3 linked regions of the Canis lupus familiaris genome follow. The protein of the gene in region 3 interacts with the protein of the main gene of each other region in a pairwise test. Links are inferred from orthologs where the notes say so. Each region holds a gene or a part of one and is shown on either strand. Other genes may lie near its edges. The genes, in order: MED1, NPY and NR1H2.

Evidence for each region.
Region 1: the proteins of NR1H2 (region 3) and MED1 interact in a two-hybrid assay, tested with the Homo sapiens proteins (2 studies listed by BioGRID and IntAct, with this or other methods). The link is inferred for Canis lupus familiaris from reciprocal best matches to the Homo sapiens genes NR1H2 and MED1.
Region 2: the proteins of NR1H2 (region 3) and NPY interact in a two-hybrid assay, tested with the Homo sapiens proteins (3 studies listed by BioGRID and IntAct). The link is inferred for Canis lupus familiaris from reciprocal best matches to the Homo sapiens genes NR1H2 and NPY.

Annotation. Positions count from the first base shown.
Region 1 is NC_049230.1:22,961,930-22,965,506, forward strand, and holds part of MED1 (mediator of RNA polymerase II transcription subunit 1), read left to right. Parts: intron 1-266; coding exon 267-362; intron 363-476; coding exon 477-582; intron 583-3,451; coding exon 3,452-3,577. UniProt on the Homo sapiens protein: Component of the Mediator complex, a coactivator involved in the regulated transcription of nearly all RNA polymerase II-dependent genes.
Region 2 is NC_049235.1:37,907,426-37,911,489, forward strand, and holds the start of NPY (pro-neuropeptide Y), read left to right. Parts: upstream 1-1,239; 5' UTR 1,240-1,392; intron 1,393-2,249; coding exon 2,250-2,437; intron 2,438-4,064. UniProt on the Homo sapiens protein: NPY is implicated in the control of feeding and in secretion of gonadotrophin-release hormone.
Region 3 is NC_049222.1:107,001,738-107,006,025, forward strand, and holds the start of NR1H2 (oxysterols receptor LXR-beta), read right to left. Parts: upstream 2,810-4,288; 5' UTR 2,649-2,809; intron 2,536-2,648; 5' UTR 2,375-2,535; intron 1,812-2,374; 5' UTR 1,793-1,811; coding exon 1,750-1,792; intron 1,669-1,749; coding exon 1,537-1,668; intron 1,183-1,536; coding exon 892-1,182; intron 815-891; coding exon 549-814; intron 336-548; coding exon 156-335; intron 1-155. UniProt on the Homo sapiens protein: Nuclear receptor that exhibits a ligand-dependent transcriptional activation activity. Binds preferentially to double-stranded oligonucleotide direct repeats having the consensus half-site sequence 5'-AGGTCA-3' and 4-nt spacing (DR-4).

The sequences.
Region 1 (3,577 bases), on a different chromosome or scaffold from region 3:
CAATTTAGGGATTAAATGGCCTTCATTTTAGAAAGTGGAAGTTTAGTTACTTATTTGTTTGGAATATTTATAACAAGCTGACATATTTTTTGGAATCGGATTCATTCTATCACCTGTGAATGATATAGTAGTTTTGCATGTAAAAAATGTATAGGATTTAGTTTCTAAGGAGACTGAAAATGATGTTCTGTATACTTAGGGATTATTATTTATTAGGATTTAGTCTTATATTTGATTATTTTATGATCTTTTTCTTTGCCTTTTAGATTCTCCTGGGCTCCTCCAATTTGAAGTGTGTCCTCTCTCAGAGTCCCGTTTTAGCGTATCTTTTCAGCACCCTGTGAATGACTCCCTGGTGTGTGGTGAGTTTTGAGGGGGCTAGCTCTTTTCTTAGGGCAGTAGTTTGGGCTCTTTATCTTCTTTTTGGAAAGTCAGAAGCTGAATTTCTCTCAACTCCTATATGTTTTGTCTTTCAGTGGTAATGGATGTGCAGGACTCAACACATGTGAGCTGTAAACTGTACAAGGGGCTGTCAGATGCACTCATCTGCACAGATGACTTCATTGCCAAAGTTGTTCAAAGGTAGCACTGGCTCTTTTCCATCAGACTCCCATTTAGAGGGGTATAAGAAACACTGTTTTCAGTATTAAAGTGAATGGAAATTTAGGAGGGAAGCATTTATTTATTTTTTATTTTTTTAAAGATTTTATTTATTTATTCATAGACACAGAGAGAGAGGCAGAGACATAGGCAGAGGGAGAAGCAGGCTTCACGCTGGGAACCTGATGTGGGACTCGATCCCGGGTCTCCAGGATCACACCCCAGGCTGCAGGTGGCGCCAAACCGCTGCGCCACTGGGGCTGCCCAGGAGGGAAGCATGTAGTCACTGTTTTGAATTCACCTTTCTCTGCTTTGGGATTCAAAAGCAATGTGAGCTTTAGTTTTTTATTTTTTTTAAGGTTTTTATTTATTTATTAATGAGAGACAGAGGCAGAGACACAGGCGGAGGGAGAAGCAGGCTCCATGCAGGGAGCCTGTTGTGGGACTCGATCCTGGGTCTCTAGGATCAGGCTCTGGGCTGAAAGCGGCGCTAAACCACTGAGCCACCTGGCCTGCCCCAAGCTTTAGTTTTTTAAATACCATCATGGGAGTAATAGGAAGTAAGGTAGAGTAACTTTAGGTTGGTATAGGATTCTTTTAGGAAGGAAATACCTGAAATAAGATGTAGATTTTTTTTTTTAAGATTTTATTTATTTATTTGAGATAGAGAGTGAGATAGACAGGCAGAAAGAGAAGGAGCCAGGGGGACAGCCAGAAGGAGGGGGGAGAAGCAGACTACCCGCTGAGCAGGGAGCCTGACATGGGTATTGATCCCGGGAGTCTGGGATCATGACCTGAGCTAAAGACTGATGTTTAGCCAACTGAGCCCCTAGATTTTTTTTTTACTTATCTACTGCATCACTTTTTAACATATGTAATATATCAAATGGTGGCATGTAGGAAGATACTTTAAGCTAGTCAGCTTCCCAGAAACATTAATATGTAATTTTGAGATTTTTCTAGAGCTGATGCTTGTGGCCTGTTTTGTAAATAAATTTTATTGGAACACAGCTATGTTTGTTCATTTATATGTTGTCTCTTTTTTTTTTTTTTTTTTAAGATTTATTTTTTAGAGAGAATTTGAGGGGTGGGTGGGGGTTAGAAGGAGAGAGAATCCTAAGCAGACTCTACTGAGTGGGAAGTCTGATGTGGGGTTTGATCTCAGTACACTGAGATCATGACCTGAGGTAAAATCAAGAATTGGGACACTTAACCGACTGAGCCACTCAGGCACCCCTATATATTGTCTGTGGTGCCTTTCGAGCTAAGATGGCAGAATAGTTGGACAAAAACCATGTGATCTTCAAAATCCTAAAATACTACTATTTTGGTCTCTTTAAGAAAAGTTGCTAAAATGTTCTAGAGCAAAGTGTTTTCGAAAATACTTTTTTTTTTTTAATTTATTTATGATAGTCATACAGAGAGAGAGGGAGAGAGAGGCAGAGACATAGGCAGAGGGAGAAGCAGGCTCCATGCACCGGGAGCCTGACGTGGGATTCGATCCCGGGTCTCCAGGATCGCACCCTGGGCCAAAGGCAGGCGCCAAACCGCTGCGCCACCCAGGGATCCCGAAAATACGTTTTTAAACTTATCTATAAGATAAAAAGTGCTTTGCTTTAAAATAATAAAGATTGTAGGGGATTCTTGGGTGGCTCAGTGGTTTAGCGCTTGCCTTTGGCCCAGGTGTGATCCTGGAGTCCCGGGATCGAGTTCTGCGTCGGGCTCCTGGCATGGAGCCTGCTTCTCCCTCTTCCTGTGTCTCTGCCTCTCTCTCTATATATATATCATATGTAAATAAGTAAATAAATCATTTAAAAAAATAATAAAGATTTTAGAGCAATAATAGCATCTTTCACAATATAGCTTTGGGATGCTTTAAGCCATTAAGGTTTATTTTTGTTTTATTTTATTTTATTTTATTTTATTTTATTTTATTTTATTTTATTTTATTTTATTTTATTTTATTTTATTTTATTTTATGATTTATTTTTTAAAGAGTTTATTTATTCATGAGACACACAGAAAGAGAGGCAGAGACACAGACAGAGGAGATGCAGGCTCCATGCAGGGAGCCCAATGTGGGACTCGATCCCGGGACTCCAGGATCATGCCCTGGGCCAAAGGCAGGCGCTAAACCGCTGAGCCACCCAGGTGTCCCACCATTAAGGTTTAGTTTTTTTTTATTATTATTATTATTTTTTGCCATTAAGGTTTAGAACTTGATGTTTCAAGAGCTTTTTCTAGTGTTTCATTAATTAAGGTAAATATTATATCCCATTAATCACATGTGAAGTCCTAAAAGGAGGGCTTTTTTTTAAAGATTTTATTTATTTGAGAGAGTGACAGAGCAAGCATGAACAAGGTGGTGGGGGATGGGCAGAGGGAGAGGGAGAAGCAGACTCCCCTTTGAGCAGGGAGCTGATGTGGGGCTCGATCCCAGGACCCTGGGATCATGACCTGCGCTGAAGGCAGATGCTTAACCACCTGAGCTACCCAGGCGCCCCAGGAGGGCATTTTCTTACTGAGTTCATTATTACCAGTTTTCTTTTGGTTTAGTATGACATGTAATTTGGACTTTGTGGTTGGTTTGTTTTGGGTAGTGCTTTAAAAGAGGTTAAGATTGCCTACTGGTACAGATTCCTTTTAGAATGAATTTGCCCAATGCTCCAGCATTTTATAGAACTATTTCTGTCTTACCGGTTACTTGCCTTACCTGAAAATTCCTTACTGTAAACCTCTGAGTACATATCTGAATTTCAGGCAAAATTAAAGCCTGTTTTCCCAAATAAAAATTGTTTTCTTTCAGCAGCTAATACATTGCTGATTTTGTTTTTTCTATCTTATCTTACAGATGTATGTCCATCCCTGTGACGATGAGGGCTATTCGGAGGAAAGCTGAAACCATTCAGGCCGACACCCCAGCACTGTCCCTCATTGCAGAGACAGTTGAAGACATGGTGAAAAAGAACCTGCCCCC
Region 2 (4,064 bases), on a different chromosome or scaffold from region 3:
CAACTCTGAGAGACCTGAAATATGTGTCCCTGTCATATTTTTGTGCAATATGGAAAGAGAAGCATTCACCTAAGTGAAGGGGATGTGGTCTTCAAAATTTCTCATGTGCGTACACACACACACACACACAGAGAGAGAGAGAGAGAGAGAGAGAGAGAGAGAGAGAGAATGGGAGAGAACACCGAGTGCAGAGCTAGCCACACAGTAATTGATCTTTAATTCAGTGCGGTGGAAACAGCACAAAAGCGCTCAGTTTAACAGAATCACTTGTGATCTTAACATTAAAATAGCTTGTACCTTAACACTTTAATCTCCTGACGTGCCATTTTTTTTAGAGAGAGTTGGAGTTCTAGGAATATTCAGGTAACTTTTAAGAATCAAAATCCTGTTCCTGTAAAAAAAAAATGGTTTATTGAATCTTTCATATTCATGCCAATAAATGATTTTTTTTCTTTTACCTGTTTCATTTCAATCAGAACCCACACTCTCAATCCACGTTAATGAACATATCTGTAACTATCCCGGGGCTAACAAATAAAGGAGAAATTCCCGTCCCTTGAACTACCCGGTAGCTTTGGCTGCGCCTTGCCCTGGACGGCGCGTCGGCGGGTCTGCAGGCCGTGGAAGCGCCGCTCCTTGCCGGCAGCGCGGGCAGGTGGGGTTACCGCGTCCCGTTTCTGAAGACTTTGCAAGCGCCACCCTTTCAGCCCTGATGGAGCCGGAGTCCCCGCGTTGGGGCGAGTACTTGGGGTGGGCTGGTCCCCTCGCAAAGAAAGCGGGGGCAGGGCCCGAAGCCACAGGATCCCATCTAAGACCCCGAGGGGCGGAGGGGGCCATTCGCCCTGGGACAGGCGCCCCGCGCCAGGTTCCGCGCAGGGAGATCGGTGCACGGAGGGGTCCCGGCTGCGGGCTGGTGCCCCGCGTCGCTGCGGCGGGCGTCCCGGGGATGCTCCACCGCTGGAGGCGGCGCGCCCCCCACCCTAGCGCCCAGCCGGTCGGAGGTCCCGGTGACGGGCGACACACAGGGTCTGGGCTGCTCCCATCTCCAGCGGGACTGGACGGGGGGTGACGAGCGCCCGCTCTCGCCTGCCCGGGGCCCCCTGCAGGGCGGGGGTGGAGGAGCGGGGCGGGGGGGCGGGGGGCGGCTCCAGAAGCGGCGGCTCGCGCGACTGCGGCCTCGGCCCCCCTCCCCGCCGCCCCCGCCAGTCGGGGGCGGGAAGCGGCGGGTGGGAGTCACCGAACGTGATCGCCCGAGGCCCCTCCTGCCGCCGCGAGGGAGCGCCATAAAAGCCCTGTTGCGCCCCGCTCTCCGCACCGCGTCCGCCGGCGCTCACCCCTCGGACAGGCGCCCCGGGACCGCACAGCCCTCGCCGCCCGGCCACGCCCGCCACCGTGAGTGCCGGACCCGCTCCCCTGGGGGCGCCAGCCGCGGGGACACGGCGCCGGCTCGCCCTCGGGGAGCTCCGGGGTCGCGCCCCGCTTCCCCGCCCCTGCGCGCCGCGCTCCGTCCTCTCGGGCCCCGACGCGCGGCGGCAGCTCCCGGAGGCCGAACTCCGCTTGCTCCTTCTGGTCCTTTCCGACTGCGCTTCACGCGCGGTCCCTCGGGGCTACCTTTTGGAGCATTTGGAGGGGGACACGACCCCCAGCCCCCGGGCAGCTCGCACTTTCCTCGGGGCTGGCAGCCCGGAAGGAGGCTTCCCGGGCTGCGCCCCCCCCCCCCCCAGCCCCGAGCGAAGCATCCCCGGGGTTCGGAAGCCCCCTGCCTCCTCCCGGATCCTTGGGATCCCGAGATTGACTGCCGGGAGAGCAATTCTCGCCTCGCTCCCCCAAATTGTCACCCCCAAAGGAATCTCAGCCAGGACGGTCTCTCTCGCAGCAAGACAGACCGCGAGAAGAAACTTTTCCCCTCCGACAGGAGTTTGGGAAAGAGGGTGGGAAAGCGCCAGGACCCCGACCCCACCGGGGGGAACTGCTCCGTCTGTCTTTAAAGTGTCTGACCCGGCGCCCCTGGTTGCGCGCGGCCCCTGCGGCCCCCGACTTGCACGGAATCCGCGCGGACCTCTCGGGGGCAGCGGGCGGGTGTCGCCCTCAGCGCAGGGCTCTCCGCTGCCCCTGGGGACTGGGCCGAGCGCGGGCCGGGGGGCGCGAGTGGCCGCGGGGAGGGGGCGTCGAGGGACACCCGGGCGGGAGGGTCCAGGCGTGCGTCCCCCAGCCCCCGCTCTTCCCCGCTGCGCCCCCTGTGCCCGCAGATGCTGGGTAGCAAGCGCCTGGGGCCCTCCGGACTGACCCTCGCCCTGTCGCTGCTCGTGTGCCTGGGCGCGCTGGCCGAGGCGTACCCCTCCAAGCCGGACAACCCCGGGGAGGACGCGCCGGCGGAGGACATGGCCAGATACTATTCAGCGCTGCGACACTACATCAACCTCATCACCAGGCAGAGGTGGGTGGGCTCCTGAGGACCGACGCCCGGAGCGCCCTGGCCCCAAACCCGAGATCCCGGGGATGTCAAAGGACAGGGACCAGGGTTTTGTTTGTTTTTTTTTTTTTTCTTGCTTGGACCCCTGGGCAGCACGGTATCAGGCACGTACTCAGTTCTCCGTGAACAATTGCCCAGAGCCCTGAACGCTTTCCCTCTGCGACCATAGTTACAAAATCGTGACCCCCCAGATTTAGGTTCCCTAGGCTGTGTGGCTGGCGATCTTGCCCCCCTCACTCCCTGCTCTTTTTTGTTGTTGTTGTTGTTGTTCTTAGAGCAGTTGGGGGGACTGTTTGGAAATCTGGATGGGAAAGGACCCCCTAAACTTGGTCAGGAGTGCCCCAGAGAAGTGCTGTAGGGAGAAGGGTGAGCGGAGTGTCTAGGAGCTGCAATCACCACCACCAACCAGCAAACAGCTGGGTTGCCAAAGACATTGCCAGATTTTCCAAGCTGCCCAGAACAAATTGAATGACAATATTTAAGAAAAGACAAACAGAGCTCTTTTCTTCTGTGCAGTGTTTTGTTTTCTTTTGTTTGTTTGTTTCTTCAGTCTCAGCCCTTTACTTTAAAATCCTGGAGATAATTGAGACTTAGCATGAAAACAGTTGATCTAAAGTATAGACTTTCCCCATCTTCTGGCGGGTTGAGTTTTGAGAAGGAAGTGCCCACTTAGTGGTTTGTTAAGAAGAAACTAGTCACTCTGGGATAAACCCAGGGATTACATGGAATTTGAAAAATTGTAAACTTTATTCTGAGCCCTCAGAAAACTAAAATTGAATGCCATGTTTTCACTCTCAACATCAAATATTTATGCAAAAAAAAAAATCACATCCAAACTGTAATATAGAATTTAAAATTTGTTTCCAATTGGTTTATCTTAGTTCTATCTTAGTTTTAAGTCATTTAATGTCTTAATTACTGGGATCAAGTTACCTTAATAGGCTAAGAAAGGAGAGCCCTTTAAAAACATTAATGTTAAAAATCTCTAAATTACGTTTTGTAAAGTGTTATTGTTTGTTTTTGCTTTTACCACACTTTTTACTATTTGTAAGTCAGGGAATAGTTGGGAACGATTCAAAATGGGGAGAATTTACATTTCTTAACTAAGTTTTTTTTCCTGTTTCATCAAAAAGGGGTATGACATCCTAAAAAGCTTTTGAAAAAGTCTCTGTTTACAGAGAATCAGAAATACATAAAATGCTGAATTAAATAGTATTGATTTGTAAACCTGGAAGTCTGTTCATTTTAATGAGCAAAAAGGCAATAATGTTTTATATCCAAGTAGACTTCTCAGAATGTTAATTGCTTCAAATTCTTGCTTATGCTGTCATATAGAGCAGATAAAAGAACTTGTTCAAATAAAAAAAAAATATTGTCGTTTATGTAGGAAAAACGCTGTTGGTTAGTTTGTCGGTTATAACCCAGTAGATTGCTATAAAGCTTTATCATTGTATAAAGCATTAGCATTTCAAAATGTTTCCCTAGGCGTTCATTTTGTCTTTACCTCAAAGCCTTGAAGTGGGTATAATTATCTCCATTTTACAGGTCATGAATCTAAGAACATTTTATGAAGGCTTTTCTTTTTAGGGGT
Region 3 (4,288 bases):
GGCCTTCCCCTGTAGGGTATCCTCTCCACAAGGGCAACAACTGGAGGTATATGACTCATCACTATACTCCCAACAGCTTTCCTGAGGCTTATCCCTGGAGCTCCTCATGGGCAGGAAGGAAGGGCCTTGTAGAGGATGGGCAGACTGCCCATTACCTCAATGGTAGACGCCTTCAGGAGGGCGATCTGGTCCTCGCGGCCCAGCTGCAGGAAGCCAGGCACTTGTTTGGCGAAATCCACAATCTCCTGGACTGAGATGATGGCTAGTTCCGTGAAGTGGGCAAAACGCTGCTGGCGGGCATCGCGGGACTGGGGGTCTGCACCCAGAGGCCAGGGCTGGGGAAACAGGGGCCAGGGTTATTCTCAGGACTTCTCCCTCAAGCCCAAGGCTGCAGGGACACCTTGAGGCAAAGACTGTACCCTAGGAGACCCTCCTCTCCAAGGCCCTGCCCTCTGAAGGCTTGTTACCTCCCCATGCCCTTGGCTACAGCCTTACTGGCTCAACCCCACCATGCTCATCATCCCTCAAGGCTGTGGGAGGGGAGGTACCGTGACTTTGGGCTGGTCAGAGAAGGAGCGTTTGTTGCACTGCAGTTGAGCTGCCACCAACTGTTGGATCATTAGTTCCTGAGCAGCTGTTAACTGAATACCCTCGCCTTCCCCAGAGCCCTGGCCGCCTCCGTCAGACCCTCCAGGGGAGGCCCCAGGTCCACAAGCTGTGCTGCTGCCCATTGGCCCTACTGGTGACTGTTGCTGCTGCTGCTGTTGCTGCTTCCGAATCTTCTTCTTTCGGATCTGTTCCTCCGAGAGGACGCCTGTTCGGGAGACAGAGGCCTCAGCAGAGGCCCCAGGGCTGGGCAGGGGTCCGGCCGGCTCTCCCCCCAGCACTCACACTGCTCCCTCATCCCGGCCTCCTTGCACTTGCGCAGCCGGCACTGCTGGCACTTGCGCCGCATGAAGGCGTCCATCTGGCAGGTCCCGCCACCCCGGCAGGCGTAGCGCCTGGCCCCGCCTCGGACCACACTGCGCCGGAAGAAACCCTTGCAGCCTTCGCAGCTGAGCACGTTGTAGTGGAAGCCAGAAGCCTTGTCCCCGCACACACGGCACAGCTCATGGCCCAGCATCTTTGGGGCTGGGCCTTTCTTTCGCTTGCGCTCAGGTTCCTCAGCAGGGTCTGGAACGACTGGGGTGGGTGGTCAGGAACCCTGAGACACAGGGCCTCGGAAGGAAATTGCAGCCCAAGGATCATCCCCACAAGAGAGAAGCAAAAAGCCAGGATACAGACAGTGACCCAGGGAAATGGTGTCTCAGAAACAAAAGCGTGCATATCAGTGAACCCCAAAGAACAAATGACAAGTGGCATCAAGTAGGAAAAAAATATGCTCACGGGCAAAAAAAGAAAAAAAAAGTGACAAGTAAGCATGGAAGAAAAAATTAACGAGAAATTGGGAGCCTCCCATCCTCATTTCTGATCTTTCTCCCTTTCTGGATCCTTCCCCAACCCTGTCCCAGCCCCTGTCCTTGGCCCCCATCTCACCCCCGCTGCAAGCGGAGCGGGCCCAATCGCTGCCTGGGACATCAGGATCTGGACCCGAAGGCCACAGTTCAGGACCCTCCTCCTTTATCGCTGGTGAAGAAGATGGGGCGCTGGCTTGAGGCGGGCCATTTCCTGGGAGAGGTAAGCACAGTGAGTTTCTCCTGACAAGTGTGCCACGGGGGTCGGGGCTGGGCCGGGAAGGAGCTCACTCACCAGGCAAGGGCGTGTCCAGAGAACTGGTGGTGGGGGTGGACATGGTGGAGTCACGGAGAAACCTGCAGAATACGGGGGGACCGAGAGCCTTGTGGGGCCAGGGAGGCTCAGGTTAGGCCAGCCCCAAGTCCTGATGCGGGCACCTGTTTCTTCCATTTTTCCAGGCTCCTCCTTTACTGCAGAGACCCCCGCCTAGCCCCTGCCTGCCTCTGGGACCTCTCCTCAGGTTGGGACAGAGCCCGCCCCCGACCGCTCCAGGCCTCCACAGGCTCTCAGCCCTGCCCTCACCTAGACTCCGCCCCTCCCGTAGGCTCCGCCCACTCCGTTCCTGCAGGTACTGCCCTTTCTGCTTCCATCGTGCTCCGCCCTCACTTCCTCCATCCCACCCAGTTTCACCCTACCTACGAGTAAGAACTCCCCACCTCCGCGGAAATAGCATCCCCAACTCCCACCCTGACCCCACCACCTCCCCTTGCCCCACCCCCACTTTTCCATCTAGGTCCCGCCCAAGCCTACCAGGTCCCACCCTCACTCCAGCCATCACGCCCCGCCCCTCCCCTTGCCCCGCCCCGCCGGTGCCCCTCCCTGCAGGCCCCGCCCCACCTCCCGTCAGGCCACGCCTCACCCCTCCCTTCACGCTCCGCCCCCACACCTCGCTCCAGGTCCCGCCCCTCTCCGAACACCAGTGGGGGGCGGGGCTCATGGCTGCGCGCGAGGGTCTTGTGGGCGGCCTCTCGCGGGGTCTCCTACTCCCGTTGCCCTGGAAACAACCGGAGACAGCGCGAGCTACGGAAGGGAGGGGGGGGAAGGAGAGAAGGAGGCTGAGCGGAGCAGCGCGGGGAACGCCGGGAAGCCCCGGGCCCAGGACGCCTCCCGAGTCTCCCCACACTCTAGTGCACCTGCCTCTGTCCCCTTGCTCTGCTTTTCCTCCTCCTTCTCTGTATCCCCTGGCACGCCGCCGCTTCTCGGATCCCCTCAAAAGTAACTTCGCCACTTCTTCCGGCAACCCCGCCGTGCGTCACTTTAGGAAGGGGGCGGGCAGTCAGGAGTGACGGACTTCCGGTCCGCTTAACTAGCCAAATCGGCTGCCCCGCACGGAAGTCGTATTCTCACCGGAAGCTTACCGTCCGGAGTATTTCCACCGAGGCCTGGCAGGAGAGTTCCGGACCAGTTCCCGAATGTAGTGCGGGAGGGGGCGTGGCCTGTCTCAAACCTTCCGAGTGGGAGCTGGGCTGCTTTTGCTCCAGCCCTGTTCCTCTCTGGGCTCGTAGCTTGGGGGTTTACTGGTCACAAAGCTCCCGACCTTCTGCTCCTTGTCGCACACGTTGATTTGAAGCATGTTTGTCCTTGTTTGATTAACAAGTTTTCTGGTTTTAGAGGCACGTTGCTTATTGGTTTGAAATAAATTGAATTGCAAACCTAGACCCAGGAAAAATCTATTAAAAAAAGAACTTGTTGAGGGCTCCCTGGGTGGCTCAGCGGTTTGGTGCCTGCCTTTGGCCCAGGGCATGATCCTAGAGTCCTGGGATCGAGTCCCATATCGGGCTCCCTGCATGGAGCCTGCGTCTTACTCTGCCTGTGTTTCTGCCCCCCCCCCCCCGTGTGTCTCTCATGAATAAATAAATAAAATCTTTATATATATATATATATAAAAGAACTTGTTGATATGAAGATTTAAAAAAAGCATAACCTCATAACCAAAGTGATACAAATAATAGCTTTTAAAGATAACTCACAGTACTTGAATAGGTAGAAAAAGGGAACTGTTCTGGTCTTCCCTGGATGATAATCAGATCTATATTGAGCATATATCCGTTTTTTATTGCAACGTATGAGTCATGCTCTTTTATAATTTGTTTTGTCCATTCCGACATGACCTTGAAGCTATGGAATCGGAGGATGTTACCACTAAAAGGGGTGATTACATGGACATAGAGTGGAGAGAATGGCTGAACTCGTGTCTCTGTCACTTCCTAGTTGTGTTATGTTGAGCCAGGCTATTGACCCTGCCTGTGCCTCAGTTTCCTTTCCTAAACTGGGTCCAACGAGGAGGCTGGGTGGCTCAGTAGTTGAGCACCTGCCTTTGGCTCAGGTCGTGATCCTAGGGTCCTGGGATTGAGACCGCATCAGGTTCCCCGCAGGAAGCCTGCTTCTCCCTTTGCCTGTGTCTCTGCCTCTTTCTCGGTCTCTCATGAATAGATAAATACAATCTAAAAAAAAATAAATTGGGCCCAATAAGAGTTAGTTGGGTTGTCATTACAACTAAATAAGGTAAAAAGAATGAGTCAGGTCAGGTTCAAATAAGGAGAGCCTAATATGTGAGAACTGTGTTTATTCTTGGGGATGCTCAGGTTGTTTTTAACTTCCCTAGAATAGTGCAAAAGGCTGAAAGAGACTGAAAATGAATTACAGCAGTTTGGGGCAAGGCATATCACCCTCAGTCTCAGTTGACGGATCTGTAAAATAGGGGAAGTTATTCCTATTTCTTAAGAAAGGTGTGAAGATTCAGGAGGGGCAGTGCCTGGCGCACCTAAGCATC